Lonchura striata: one gene and its partner. Each later gene encodes a partner of the first gene's protein in a complex. Links are inferred from orthologs where the notes say so. Each region holds a gene or a part of one and is shown on either strand. Other genes may lie near its edges.

Region 1 (6,979 bases):
CTTCTTAAAGCTGTAGAAATCAGAAAGGACATAGCAGGTGATGGAATGCAGAAAAATTCATATTAACTCCATGTATTTTCATTATTCCTACCTGTGGCATAGAATTACCTGGAAAATAGAATCCTTGTACATTGTAAACCCTTTAAATTGGTCTAGGTTTCTAAAAATAATTGGTTTCTTTAAATTTCTGTGGAGAGATTTTATATTTGAAGGAGTTTTTTTCTGACTGACATGTGAAACTGAGGATAGTGCGTGCTAAGAGTACGCTTGTCTCTAATTTAGCAGCTGGATTCGAAAGCTTGAATTATCTCTGCATAATTGCAATGATTAATGGATTGTTAGGAAATTGCAAAGTATTGATTGAATTTTCCCCTTAGGAAATATTTCTCCTCTGATAAAACACAGTTCTGGGCCTTTGCTTTTGTCCTTCCTGCTTTCTGCCCCAGGAAAGCCAGGGGCTGCTTTTATCCAGGAAATGGGAATTTGGGTCAACAGCCCTTCAAGGACAATTTTGAATTATTGTGATTTCCAATCCCAAATCTTCTCTGAGCTTTGCAAAGAGATGGATTTGCAAAGTGTGAACAGGGATTTCCGAGCCAGAAAAGCTTTTTCTTTTTTTGCTGGGACCAGCAGCAAATACTGGCCATCCCTGTTTCACATTCTGCCATTTCCATGTCAAATACCACCAGTGTGCTCTGCAAAAACATCTTGACCTTGTTGTGGGAATGCCACACCCATCAAGGCTGGTGGTAAATTTTCCACTTTATTAGGCCAGGATTACTCTGGGGGATCTCAGGAGTTGGTGGGAAGAGGGAAGTGGAGAATGAAGTGAGAATTGGATGCAGGGAGATCTTGATGCACAGTGCCTGGGGCTGGGCAGCTGAGACCTGGAAGCCCTGACACACATCTGCACCTTAATGGTGCTGGGCTCTTTTTGGCAGCTGCTCTGGGAATTTCCAGAACAGACCCATAAATACACAGTTATGAGTGTGACCTCTGCTTCTTTCTTTGCTAAATTGACCAGCCAAGGCCCAGCTGAGTATCATCCCTTGTCTCTGCTCCAGTTGCTTGGGATGTGCTGCCTCTGCAAATGGTTCTGCCTAAGTCAGGAATTATGAGAGCGTGCTAATTCAAGGTTTGCCATGAATTTAGTGTTCCTGCAAGGATGACACTAATGGCAATTAATGCAGCAGAAATGCCAGTGCTGAGTGACTGTTCTCACAATAAAAGCTGTCAGTTGGAGAGCACAGTCTCTGTTATTCCAGCCTGACCTCTGCTTTCTGGCTGTGTTTCCTGTGCACAGCAGGTGTCCCAGGCCGTCCCATCTCTGCAGCAATTCACTCTGGGAGGGGACACAGGGAAAGAGCAGAGCAGCCCAAACCAGCCTGTGCTGACAGTGACATTTCCTGAGGCTTTGGATATTCTCCTCTGTGGCTTGAATAGCAACAAAATTAACCCAGAACTGAACAGGATATAAGACTTTAATTTCTGGAGCTCCTTGCTAGTTCAATGCTCTCCTCATGTCCTGCTCTGTTGATTCCTGTTTAGACACAGAGCTCTTTCTACTGTTTCAGTTTTCACCGTGAAGAATCTGATTTTAAATGTCAATTGCATTCAAACAGGCTTAGCTAGAAGTAATCCCTGCTGCTGCCCAATTCCATAGCAATCTGCACAACTAGTCATGTTTTGCTAAAAAAAATCAATGGTAAAAATGTCTTTGCTTTACAATGGCTCAAGTTCAACAAGTGACAGTGCTGCAGCAGTGTGGGGATTGTGATTTTTACCTAAGCCAGAAGAGCCACTGTCCTCACTCTGTGCCCTAAACTCTTGCACAGGGTAAGTCAGTTCCAGATGAGGAACATCTGCAATGTGATGCAAGAGGAAGTAATGCTTGCACACATGAAAAATGTAAATAAAGGGTGTTTCTAGGCTCACAAACACAATCCAAAGCATGAAAAGGAGAACAGCTCTTACAGGAGAATAACTAGAGGTACTTAATCTGTGTTATTTTAAGGCTTTTTAGCTCTAAAAGCAGTTCTGGAGGATGAAACCAGGTCTGAGAAACATCAAGTGAAAATTAATAGCTTTTTAACAACAAAGTTTAATGGACAAGTGCAAATAGGATATGAGATAGAAACCTGAGCTCCTGAATTATAAATATACCCAGCCTCTACACAGGCAAGTATCTGTTATCTATTTGATGTACTACTCAATGCCGGGGGATTGAGAAAGGCAGGAGCTGGATGAGCATTTTCAGGTTCAAAATTTTGTGTATTCTGGGTTTAGCTGGAGATAAAAAGGATGAATCCAACACAGATGCCTATAGCCCTCACCACTACACTACCCCCTGTGAGGAGCTGGAGGTGCAGGGCACATCAGAGGCTGGCAGCAGGGTGTGGGTGAGCCCAGACTGTGATGCCTCTGTGACCTGTGGAGGGACACGCTGCAGTCACCCTTCAGGTGTCTTTGTTATTAATGTTTGTTTTCCCCACTTGGAAGCTCTGAGGCAGCATGAAAGATTTCTCTTTAAATGCAGAGGATCACGTTCTGGCTCGTTATGGTGCCAGCAGACGGTAACTGCTGCACAGCACTGCTGCTGATGCCTGGGGGTTACTTTCCACACGCAGGAATGATGACACAGCCACTGACTGCAGTGATGGCAAACACGCTGCTGCTGAGGGCAGGCTGGTGGGAAAGAGCAGTTTTAAGGGATTCTGTTTAATCATCTGGACACAAGTGCTATTTTTATCCTCTGTTGTTTGTATCTCAAGCCTGCACCAGGAGAAGCTGATGACAAAGTTGGTGTCTGCCATGGCACAGGGGAGACAAGGGGAACCGGACACCTTTTGGGAAGGGAGAAGCAGGGTGGGCAGGTGTGGCAGTGGGAAAGGGGCCTGTGCTCATGGCTTTTTTGCACCTTATGAGCTGAAAGAGCTTGTTGGCCTCTCTAATACCTCCACAAGCTCATATGACTCTCTCAGCTCAGTTCACAGGAGGGATCTTCTTGGGGGACTTCCCATCGACCAACCCCAAGTTCCCCTGTGCTAGTGGGTGGCTTTGGGATGAGCCAGTGCCTGCCCATGGAGGCAGGAGAAGGGCACCCACCCCATGGTGGGGGTTAAAGTTGGTGGGCTCCAGGCAAGAGGTGAGGTGAGATTATCACAGTGTGTGAAGAGGCCCAGGGAGCTCGGAGCATGCCCAGCCATCACTTGGGCACAGGATTCCGGGTAGCTCAGTGTGCCCATCCATCCTTTGGGAATAGGCTCAGAGATCCTGGAGGGAGCGTGCCTGGGCATTGAGTACAGGAATCCGGAGAGCTCAGTGTACCCATCCATCCTTTGGGAATAGGCTCAGAGATCCTGGATGGACTGTGCCTGGGCATTGAGTACAGGGATCCGGAGAGCTCAGTGTGCCCATCCATCCTTTGGGAATAGGCTCAGAGATCCTGGATGGACTGTGCCTGGGCTGTACAGGAGTACAGGAGTCCGGGGAACTCAGTGTGCCCATCCATCCTTTGGGAATAGGCTCAGAGATCCTGGAGGGAGCGTGCCTGGGCATTGAGTACAGGGATCCGGAGAGCTCAGTGTGCCCATCCATCCTTTGGGCACAGGGACTCCTCAGAGAAGCCCGAGCATCGTTTGGGCACACAAAGCCGAAAAGAAATAAAAGCGAACTGGGGGTAGAAAAGATTCAGGTTCCACCGAGATTTGAACTCGGATCGCTGGATTCAGAGTCCAGAGTGCTAACCATTACACCATGGAACCGCTCTGCCACCACCCCCTCCCGGCTGCCCCTAGTTCCTCGCGCCGCTCGCCGCCGCAGCGCGGCCGCTCCCTCAGGGCGGCGGAGGGGGCTCGGCGCTGGGGGCTCCGGGGCCGGGCGGGACCCCCGCCCGCCGGGCCCCGCTGAGGGCGCGGCCGCGGCGCTGCCTCGGGCGCGGTCGTGCGGCGGCGCCGCTGCCCCGGAAGCGCCTGTGGGCGGGCGGGCGGAGCGCGGAGGGCGGAAGAGCTGCGGCGGCTGCAGGGAGGGTCCGGCCCCGCTCCGCTGCGCTCCCGGTCCCGCTCCTCCGCCACCCGCCATGGGCACCCGCGACGACGAGTACGATTATCTCTTCAAAGGTGAGGCGGGCAGGGCGGGAGAGCGGCGGGGCCCGCGGGCGCGGCCCGGCGGGTGCGGGAGCGCTCCGGGCACCGCCGGGCCCCGCTCGGGTGTCCGGCCCTCCCTCACGCACAATGCCAGCTCCGGGCCGGCGGATTTGGTGCCAGCGCCCGCCCGAGGCCGCCCCGGCACGGTCTGCGGGGTGGCGAGCAGAGATCGCCAGGAAGGATGCCCAGGGCTGAAAAGGACTCCTCAAGGTTGACAAGAACCTTTCCAGCTGTTAAATAGAGCTTTAGAGTGGGCGAGATATACTCAGCATTGATAAATGATGCGCTCATTTAATCAAATAGTACTCCTTGCTGCCTTCTGTGTTCAGAGCCCATGGCGAGGAGTGGAATGTCCCTGCTGCTCCACGCCCAGAGATCATAAAATCCTCCTGCAATCATGGAATGGTTTGAGTGGGAAGGGACCTTAAGATGATCGCATTCCAAGCCCCTGCCATGGGCAGGGACACCTTCCACTGTCCCAGGTTGCTCCAAGCCCCGTCCAGCCTGGCCTTGCTCTGTCCTGGCTCCCCCAGGGAAGGGCAGGAATGCCGTCATTCCCAGGGCTGATGCCCCTGCAGTCTGCGATGCGGTGGCAAGTCGGATTAAAACCTCCCAGGTTGTTGTTAAATATTCAATTTTCACTCCCTGCAGAGTAAAACACCGGCCTGCTGGACAGGTTCATGTGGCCTGCTGTGAAATGTGTACAGAAGTGCTGATATTTTGAAAGTTGACTATCCAGTTTTTAAAATCCCACTGTAAAAGCAAGCAAAGTAGTGTAAAAAAGTAGTTGTTTATTGTGATGTGATATTGTAAATTTGAATTTAGGATTAAGAGCATTACTTGTGTTTTAATGGTGGCAGACCCTGTGCTTGTCCTCACAAAGGTAAAATATTGATGTTTTTTTCTGTACCTTTAAGCTCCTGTAATAACTTTGAGGAATTACATTTTTTTTGTTGTTGTTGGCTGTTTTGTCCAGTTGCATGTGGAAAGTGCCATTATTTCTACCTATAAATCAGACATCTGTACTGTTATGGAAAGCAAATCAGGAAGGTCCAGAATGAGCTCTTTTCTCAGCTTGCAGCCCTGGCAAGGACCTTGCTGACCACTGTTTTAATGGCATCAGGCAATGTTGTTGTAGGTACAGGTTATCAAAGCCATTGAATTCCCATTGTTCTTGCAGTTCTGTCAGTGGGCTTGTAATTAATGTTCTAGCTGTGGAAGCCTGGGAATATCAGTGACACAGAGTTTATTGGGAGAGCTCCTATCTTTCATTTGGCCTGCTTCCTTTTCTAGTTGGGAAAATATAAAGTTGGAATCCAGTTATAGAGAGAAGTGCAAAGCTGATTTAATTGATTGCCTTTGCTAAAGCGTTTTCTGTTCAGCTTGGTTTATGGAAGCCATTGAGGGTGCAGGGAATGCTGTCAAAATGCTGTTGTGAAAATAAATGATTTGGATTTTTCCAGCCTAAAGTGGACTGCAGGAAGTTGATGCAATGTCTGTCACTTAACTGGGATTGATGTGGCAGCTGAAATAACACAAAAATGCAGAATAATGAAACTGTGGAAACTTTTGTAACTTCCCAGAGGTGATGGTGGTTCTAAACAAGCTGTCACCACTCTGGAATGATCTGGAAATTACTGCAAGGAGATCTCTGAACTGAATGTCTTTTGCCAGGCACTGGTCAAAAAGGCTAGGGGTAAATATAGGTAAATATTTTGGAAAAGGAAGTGGGAACTTGGGGAGAGCGTTAAGTCAGTGCTTGAATTTGAGACATGAGCTTCTTGGGAATTGAGGTGATGTGTAGCCATGACAGACATAACCATTTTGAAAGGGATGTTGTAGAATTAAAAAGATGGAGAAAGGCATCAAAATGATCAGAAAAGAGACCTAATGGATTCATAGTCCTTATACTCAATTGATGTACAGCTTGATTAAAATTTAAACAGTGAGTGATAAGGGCAAATAGGGTAAGTTTCTCCTGTTTGTCGTAATTTCTCTGGATATCTGTAATGCTTCTTTTATTGGGTAGCGGGTGAAAGCAAATGGACAAAATCCCTCAGGTGTGTATGCAAATTTTGGAGTGATGCATTGCCATGCATATTGTAAATGGATTTGAAAGCCTGCACAAATTCATAGAAGCAAAAAATCTTGTTTGGGGTGTGTCAGTGTGACAGTTACGATGGCAAGTCTGAAGGCATTGCTTATTTGAAGATGCAGGGGCTGGCTAGGACAGAGATTAGCCTGTTTGCTGTGATGCACATCAGGGTTTTTGGACATCAGTTATTTGGAGTCAGACTCTGGGTGTTGGCCTGTCAGGACACTTCATCCAGCAGGACATTTCTGAGTTTCTTAAGGGACTGTATGGGTCGGTTGGTGGGACTGAGTTCAGAGTTTAACCTGGTTAAAACAATCATGTGATCTTCTCTAGTCTGGCTGTTTTTTACTGTTCCTGGGCTGAACTGCCACGTTTCTGTTTGTGAGACCTCTGGTTTTGTCCTGACTGCAGCTGTGTGTTGAAATCTGGTTGACTCTGCTGCTGGGTGAAAGCTGAGCCCACCTGTGCTGCTGTACAGTAAAATCCAGGGACCTGTTACAAAATACACTTCTCCTGACTGTGTTGCAACACTTCAGCATATAGGAAGGACTAAACCTAGCTTGATAAAAAACAGTTTCTGTTAAATTCTTCTCGTCCAGCTTCCAGTCTTTGTATTCTTCCATACTTTCACGGTCTGGCTGAGAGCAGTGCCTGCTGTTCCCAGAATGGCCCCTGAGGAAACACAAGGCCTATGAAGTACAGTTCATATAAATCTTGCTCTCATTTTAGTAGGAGGAAA
Region 2 (6,878 bases), on another chromosome or scaffold:
CCAGGGCATGGCTGCTGTAGCAGTGGGTGCACTGTCCTCATGGATAGTCCTTGGGATGAGCAGAACCTGCTGGATTTTCCCTTTGAGCCCGGCTTGTGACGTGGTGTCTTGTGGATGTTTGTCCAGACACCTCTGAGATTCCCCCAAAGCAACACAATGCCCATTTTCTGTGCCCCAGCAGCAGGATTGAGCACAGAGAATCCCAAGAGCCTCTTCCTTTCATGAATTCCTGCAGCCTGGCAGGGGAAGGGGTCTCCTGCCTTCCTCTCCTCCCTGCCTGTGTCCCACCTGGCAGCCTCCAGGAGCTGGGCAGGCCCCAGCAGGGCTCTGTCCCCACCTCCACCCTCTCTTGCAGATGTCTGGGCTGCGGGAGCAAACCAACCCCACTGACGGACAGCCTGGGACTGACTGACGGACAGATGTGACATGGGACACCGTGTGGGGACATCTCCCAGAGCCAGTGCTGACAGCCACAGCCTCTCCTCGGCCACTGGTGGTACTGGTGACGCTGCCAGTCCCATGTCTGCCTGAGGGACACAGCTCTGGGTGCTGGGTGGGGACCAAGGCCACCCCCATCCTGTGCCATTGCTGCCTTCTGAGCTGGCCTGGCTGTGGGTGCACAGACAGCTGGGAGGGCTGAGGTGGTCTCTGGCCCTTTGTGGCTCCCTCCAAGCTGCTCTGGTGGCCTTTCCCAAGCCTCCAGCAGTGCCACCCGTGGGTACCCATCCTCTTAGTCCCCTCTCCCCTGTCTTACCCTGAGAACTTCACGAGACCCCCAGCAGCAGCTCCTTTTTGGGAGGGGAAGCAGCTCAGCCCGCCTGGGGTCACCCAGCGTGGTGGGCTCAGTTCTGCCCTGGCAACTCTTGGAGGGGAAACCCTGGCAGGGGGAGGTGGCTGTGTCCCCTGAGGGGTCCTGGGTGGGACAGTGGTCCTGGGAGGCTGCCAGGGATGCAGCTGGGATGCCCCTGCAGGAGCAGAGGTGGTGTGAGGGCAGATCCCCCAGGTCCAGTTCTGCACTGCAGTGTCCAGTGGTCTGTCCACACCCGTCTGTCTGTCACACCAGTGTCATGCTGTCTCCTTCTGCTCAAGCTGAGGCAAAGTGAAGGGCTCGAACTGGAATCTAGTCCTTTCCTCCTGCTGGGCTGCAGGAGGCACAGCAGGGCTGCACGGGTGGCACTGCTGGAGCCAGCCCTGTTCCTGGTGCTGGCACCCCAGGGGACACACGCTGCTCATGTGCACCCTCCTGCTGCTGCTGGTAGTTCGTAGGCTCACCCTGGATTCCATGAAGCTTGTTTTCCCATTTGATTTCCTATTTGATTGTAGACTTGCCAGGTTTTACCCCTCCCTCCAGGCCACCAATAAAGAATTTTCCCCCTGAGCAGTGATGCCTCTCTCTGCTGCAGGAGCACCAGTGCCCTGCTCAGCTGACTGGTCCAAACTGGGTGCTGAGGGAGGGGGAAAAGCCACTGCTCCCACTGCCAGGGCCTTGTGTGGCTCCAGTCCTTGGCTCTGTGGTGCCTCAGTGCTCCAGGCCACGGGGCTTGGGGACCTGCCAGCTCCTCATCCCCAGGGGCTCTGGGAAGGTGGTTCCAGAGGTGGTGGGAGGTGCTGAGGGCTTTGGTGAGAGGCTCAGCCCTTCACGGGGACAGGGATGCAGTGCTTGGGCTGGAGTCTGGGTGGATCCTTAGTCTGGGATGTGGCTCCAGCTGCAGTGTTCTCTTGCTGGATCCCAGGATGTGTTTTCTCCTGGGGAAGGTTCCTGTGTGCTGTGTGTTGGCCCTTCTGCCCAGCTGCAGCCTTGTCTCTGGGAGGCTCCATGGATTTTGCTGTTCCACCATGCCCAGGTGACCTGGGCACTGTCAGGGCTGTCCTGGCTCCGTGGCCACCCCAGGAAGGAGCTGAGCTTGTGTCTCCAGCAGCAGGGGAAGGACAGAGCTCCGGGCCCAGCCTTGGCATAGCCCGGAGCTTCAGGAACCCACCCAGGGGTGCAGAGCTGCCTCTCACAGCATCAGGCTGGCACCTCATGCCCTGCCAGCCCCGTCCGTGCAGGAACCCTGGCTGCTGGAGCTGTCTGGAAGCTGGGAATTGCCCAGGGGATGGCTGAGGCAGGTGCTGCTGTGCTTCCCCTGTGGGGCTGACCAAGGAGCTCCCTACTGCCCTGCTCACCTTTAGGAATGGCTGTGCTGAGGAGGAGGATTTGGAATGAAGGATCTGGAGGATTTGTGGGGCTGACCAAGGAGCCCCATCCTGCCCAGCGCTGGGCTGACTGGACAGGGGTGACCTCTCTCTGGGGATGCTGCTGAGCTCTGGCTCTTGGGCTGAGTGTGCTGGGGGTCACACTGTGGCCCAACCAGGCTGCTCATGAGATGTCACACACATCCGTGACCTGGGCAGGGTCACTGGGGCCAAGGATGCTCCTGCTCATCAAGTTTGCTGCTAATTATACCCAGGGGCTGTAATTCCACACGCTGGGCAGCTCAGGAGTGTGTTAGTGGGGTCATCCACAGAACCTCCATCAATGAACCCATTGATGAGGTGCCAGGGCTGTCCCGGTGCTCAGCTCCCCCCGGAGCACTCGGGCATCCCGGGGCACAGTGCTGCCCCACTGGGGTTGGGGGTCCCAGCTCCTCTCCCCAAGGGATTTGGGGTTCCAGTGCACAGTTCACACCTGAAGCAGCTGGGCAGTGCCATTGCGCAGTTCCCCCCACAGAGATTTGGGGTCCCAGAGTGAGGTTTGGGTTTGGGGTCCCAGAGCATGGTTTGGGGTCCTGGAGCACAGTTTGGGTTTGGGGTTCCCAAGCGCGGTTTGGTTTTGGGGTCCCAAAGCAGGGTTTGGGTTTGGGGTCCCAGAGCACGGTTTGGGGTCCTGGAGCACAGTTTGGGTTTGGGGTTCCCAAACGCGGTTTGGGTTTGGGGTCCTGAAGCACAGTTTGGGTTTGGGGTCCCAGAGCACGGTTTGGGTTTGGGGTCCTAGAGCACGGTTTGGGATCCCGGAGCAGGGTTTGATTTTGGGGTCCTGGAGCGCAGTCTGGGTTTGGGGTCCTAGAGCATAGTTTGGGATCCCGGAACGCTGTTTGGGTTTGGGCTCCCGGAGCAGGCTGTGGGGTCCCGGAGCAGGGTGTGGGGTCCCGGAGCAGGGTGTGGGGTCCCGGAGCAGGGTTCGGGGTCCCGGAGCAGGGTTCGGGTGTGGGGTCCCGGAGCAGGGTTTGGGGTCCCGGAGCAGGGTTCGGGTTCGGGGTCCCGGAGCAGGGTTCGGGGTCCCGGAGCAGGGTGTGGGGTCCCGGAGCAGGGTTCGGGGTCCCGGAGCAGGGTTTGGGGTCCTGGAGCAGGGTTCGGGGTCCCGGAGCAGGGTTCGGGTTCGGGGTCCCGGAGCAGGGTTTGGGGTCCCGGAGCAGGGTTCGGGTGTGGGGTCCCGGAGCAGGGTTTGTTTCCCAGCAGGGGGATCTGGGGGTCCCCGCTCACAGCGCCCCCCGGCCCCACGTGCTCGCGCTCCGCCGGCCCCGCCCCCGCCGCGCGCGCCCGGGGAGGGGGCGTGGCCTCGGTCGGGCTCGCGCCGCGGAGGGGCGGGGCGGACCGGCAGGCGAGTGACGTCACCGCCCCGGCTACTGCGGCGGCGGGGCTGGAGCTGCCGCTGGTCCGCGGCGGCCCCGGAGCGGCGGCGCGGGCGGGCGGCCGGTGGGGTTGTTCCTCGGCGCCGCCGCCGCCTCCCCCAACCCCCGATCCCGGCCAGGACCCGCAGCCCCGGCGCTCGGAGCCGCCGCTCCCCGCGCTCGGAGCCGCCGCTCCCCGCGCAGGGCGGGACCGGCGGGGCCGCCCCCGGTGTCGGCGGGCGGGGCCGGCGTTCCTCGCACAAAGCCGTGAGTGCCGCGGGGACCGTACCGGTACCGGCACCGCCCCGATGTGAGCGGGGCATGGCCGCGGGGCATGGCCCGGGTCGGGCGGCGGTGGGCGCGCAGCGCCGGCGGTGAAGATGGAGCCGCGTCCGCCTGGGACCGAGCCCCCGCTGCCCCGGGGGCCGGGACCCGGGCCCGAGCCGGAGCTGGAACCGGAACCAGAACCCGAGCTAGAGCTGGAACCGGAGCCGGACCTGGACGTGCAGCGGGAACCGGAGCCGGAGCTGGAACCAGAACCCGAGCTGGAGCTGGAACCGGAACCGGAGCTGGAACCAGAACCCGAGCTGGAGCTGGAGCTGGAACCAGAACCCGAGCTGGAGCTGGAGCTGGAACCGGAACCGGAGCTGGAACCAGAACCCGAGCTGGAGCTGGAACCGGAGCCGGAGCTGGAACCGGAGCCGGAGCTAGAACCAGAACCCGAGCTGGAGCTGGAACCGGAGCCGGAGCTGGAACCGGAGCCGGGGCTGGAAGAGGAGGCGGACCTGGGCCCGGAGCTGGATCTGGACCTCTGGGCACTTGAGCCCGCCGCTCCCGGCGCGGGGCCGCCGCCCTGGTGCCCGGGGGAGGCCGGGGACAGCCCGGGGAGCCCCGCCGAGCCCCCGCCGGAGGAGGAGCCGCGCCTCCGCCCGGTCTTCGACGCCCTGGACCGGGACGGCGATGGCTTCGTGCGCGTGGAGGAGTTCGTGCAGTTCGCCACGGCCTACGGCGCCGAGCAGGTGAGCACCGGGCACCGCACCTGCCCACCGCGGGGCCCGGGCCGGGGCACCGGCCGTGGCGGCACCGCTTGTTGCCCGGTGCCCCGCCGCCCGAGGCTGATGGTGGTGGTGGCTTCTGCCCGGCCTCCGGCCCTTGGAGAGCTCCGTGTCCCCAAGGCCGGCGCTGGCATCCCGTCGCCGCGGGTGAAGGGCACGCGTGGCTCCCGGAGCTGCCGTGCTCCGGGGGAGCGGCGCCGCCGGCTGCCCGCAGCTCTTTGTTCTGCAGCGCTGCCGCCCCGGGGCTCGCCGGGCAGCGGCACATCCCGGCCCGGGGGCTGCTCCGTGCCAACCCTGCTGACCCCGGCTCACCCCATAACGGGGAGCATCCCTGCCCGCGGGTTGGAACGAGGTGATCCTTCAGGGCCTTCCCAACGCAGACCATTCCCTGCTTCCCTGCTTCCTCGCTTGTCCCGGCTTTGACAGCTCGAATGAGGATTTCCCCCATCCTGCTGCTTTGTGCCCTGCCCAGCCGGTGTTCCCCTGCAGCAGATCACGGGCGATGTAATTTGAAGCTGACTAAAAATGGAGCAAGCTCCGGCAGCGCTCACCAGGGGATGGAGATGGATTTCTTGGTGTTTAGTGCATTGGCCTGGGCTGGCATCGCTACCAGGAAAAGAAAATTTATTTTTTTAAGGAATGCAGGTATTGCTGTGAAGTTTTCCCTGTGCCTGCCCGGATCTGCTCTCGTTCTCCATCCGTGGCAGCTGCGCGGGTATTTAAGTGCCATGACAAAGCAAATCATGTGTGAAGGAGGCTTTTGATGGAGGAGAGCTTTTTATCCCTGTCCTTGTGCCAGAAACACCTCTCAAAGATAAAACAGAGATATTTATTTTAGAAAAATAGCCCTGCAAAGTGGAGACAGGGAAGACAGGGAACTTCTTGGTGTTGCAGAAGGGTGCAGAGGGTTGCTCTGTGTGTGCAGAGGGTCTCTAGGTGTGAGCTCAGGTACCTCGGCTGCTCCTGCCTGTGCCAGCAGAGAGGCTTGATTCCTAAATCCTCTCTCCTGCCCTGCCTGGGCCAGGCTCCTGTGCCACCGCTCCGGTGTCCCACTGCTGTCCCCAGCAGAGGAGACAGGAGCAGACAGCCCACGGAGGCTCCTGCACACGGTGCCACCTCCCGGGGGACTGTTTGCCTTTGTGTCCTTCGGCGTGGAGCAGCCCAAGGACGTGGGAAATGGGGACAGGAGGTGGCGTGTGCGTGGCAGGGGACGTGGCGGGTGGCTCTGGGTGTGCAGCTCAGCCTGGCGGTGCCGGTGTCGGCGTGGGGATGGTGCCAGAGCTCCAGAGGGGCCTCACTGAGCCTGGAAAACACCCTCAGACCATGGCTGGGGAGTGGCTGTGGGCTGCTCAGGTCACCCCAAAGCTCAGGAGGTTTTGTGCTGTTGGATAGTGTCTGTCCACATGGATCCGTCTGGGAAGGGGCTCTCTGCAGGCTCCCCGTTCCGGCCTGCTGAGCACAGCTAATGCTGCCATAAATGATGCTTTGAAAACCCATTTCTCTTCAGCAAGAGGCTCTGGCGTGCAGGACAGCTGGGTGCTGGCACAGCGGGTGCTGAGCCCCTTGGGGAGGTTGGTGTGGCAATGCCTGAGCCAGCAGGTCCTGGGCACTCCAGGGGACTGGCAGAGGGGGAAAGGTGATGCCTGTGTGTGCAGGAGGACTTGGTGTGAGTCTGCAGCTTAGAAAGGACCAGGACACGCTGAGGGAGGGCGAGAAGGGGTTGGTGATGGGGTCTGTGAGCTCTCAGCAGATCATATTTGTTCCTCATTAACTGCCCTTTGTGATTACCCAGGCAGCCACCACACCCCGACCCCTCTCTCGCAGCATCCCAGTTCTGGTTGTGGCACAACCTCTATTTACACCTTCAGGTCCCATTTAGTGGGAAGGGTCCCACAGGAATCACTGGGTCCAGACACCCCAGCAATCCCACCCTGGGCATCCCTGAGATCATTGTCCAAACCCTCCTGGAGCTCTGGCAGCCTTGGGGCTGTGCCTGTTCCCTGGGGAGCCTGGGCAGTGCCCAGCACCTCTGGGGGAAGAACCTTTCCTCATCTCCAACCTGAGCCCCCTGATTCATGGAATAATAAAGGAAGGAGTCCTGGGGAAGTTCCTTGACCTGTCTTTCATGAGGCAGCTGGAACCTGGACCCAGAGTGGATCTTCTAGAAAACAGAGATCAGCTCAGGTGGGAGTTAAAGGGGAGGAACATCCCCGGTGGTAAAACGTGATCAGGG

The links. Proteins that work in one complex are often made in the same cells at the same time.
Region 2: the proteins of RAB11A (region 1) and RAB11FIP3 are in contact, whole or in part, in a crystal structure (PDB 2HV8), measured with the Homo sapiens proteins. The link is inferred for Lonchura striata from reciprocal best matches to the Homo sapiens genes RAB11A and RAB11FIP3. Residues at the interface, in NP_004654.1 of Homo sapiens: Arg33, Ile44, Gly45, Val46, Glu47, Phe48, Ala49, Thr50, Trp65, Arg72, Arg74, Ala75, Ile76, Ala79, Tyr80, Arg82; in NP_055515.1 of Homo sapiens: Asn731, Phe732, Gln735, Ile738, Asp739, Arg740, Ile742, Val743, Met746, Glu747, Pro750, Ser751, Leu753, Glu754, Val755, Lys756.

What each region holds. Positions count from the first base shown.
Region 1 is NC_134613.1:22,382,984-22,389,962, forward strand, and holds the start of RAB11A (ras-related protein Rab-11A), read left to right. Parts: upstream 1-3,966; 5' UTR 3,967-4,078; coding exon 4,079-4,118; intron 4,119-6,979. UniProt on the Homo sapiens protein: The small GTPases Rab are key regulators of intracellular membrane trafficking, from the formation of transport vesicles to their fusion with membranes.
Region 2 is NC_134618.1:3,317,922-3,324,799, reverse strand, and holds the start of RAB11FIP3 (rab11 family-interacting protein 3), read left to right. Parts: upstream 1-3,864; 5' UTR 3,865-3,970; coding exon 3,971-4,609; intron 4,610-6,878. Other genes in the region: DECR2 (peroxisomal 2,4-dienoyl-CoA reductase [(3E)-enoyl-CoA-producing]), read left to right, coding at 356-390. UniProt on the Homo sapiens protein: Downstream effector molecule for Rab11 GTPase which is involved in endocytic trafficking, cytokinesis and intracellular ciliogenesis by participating in membrane delivery. Recruited by Rab11 to endosomes where it links Rab11 to dynein motor complex.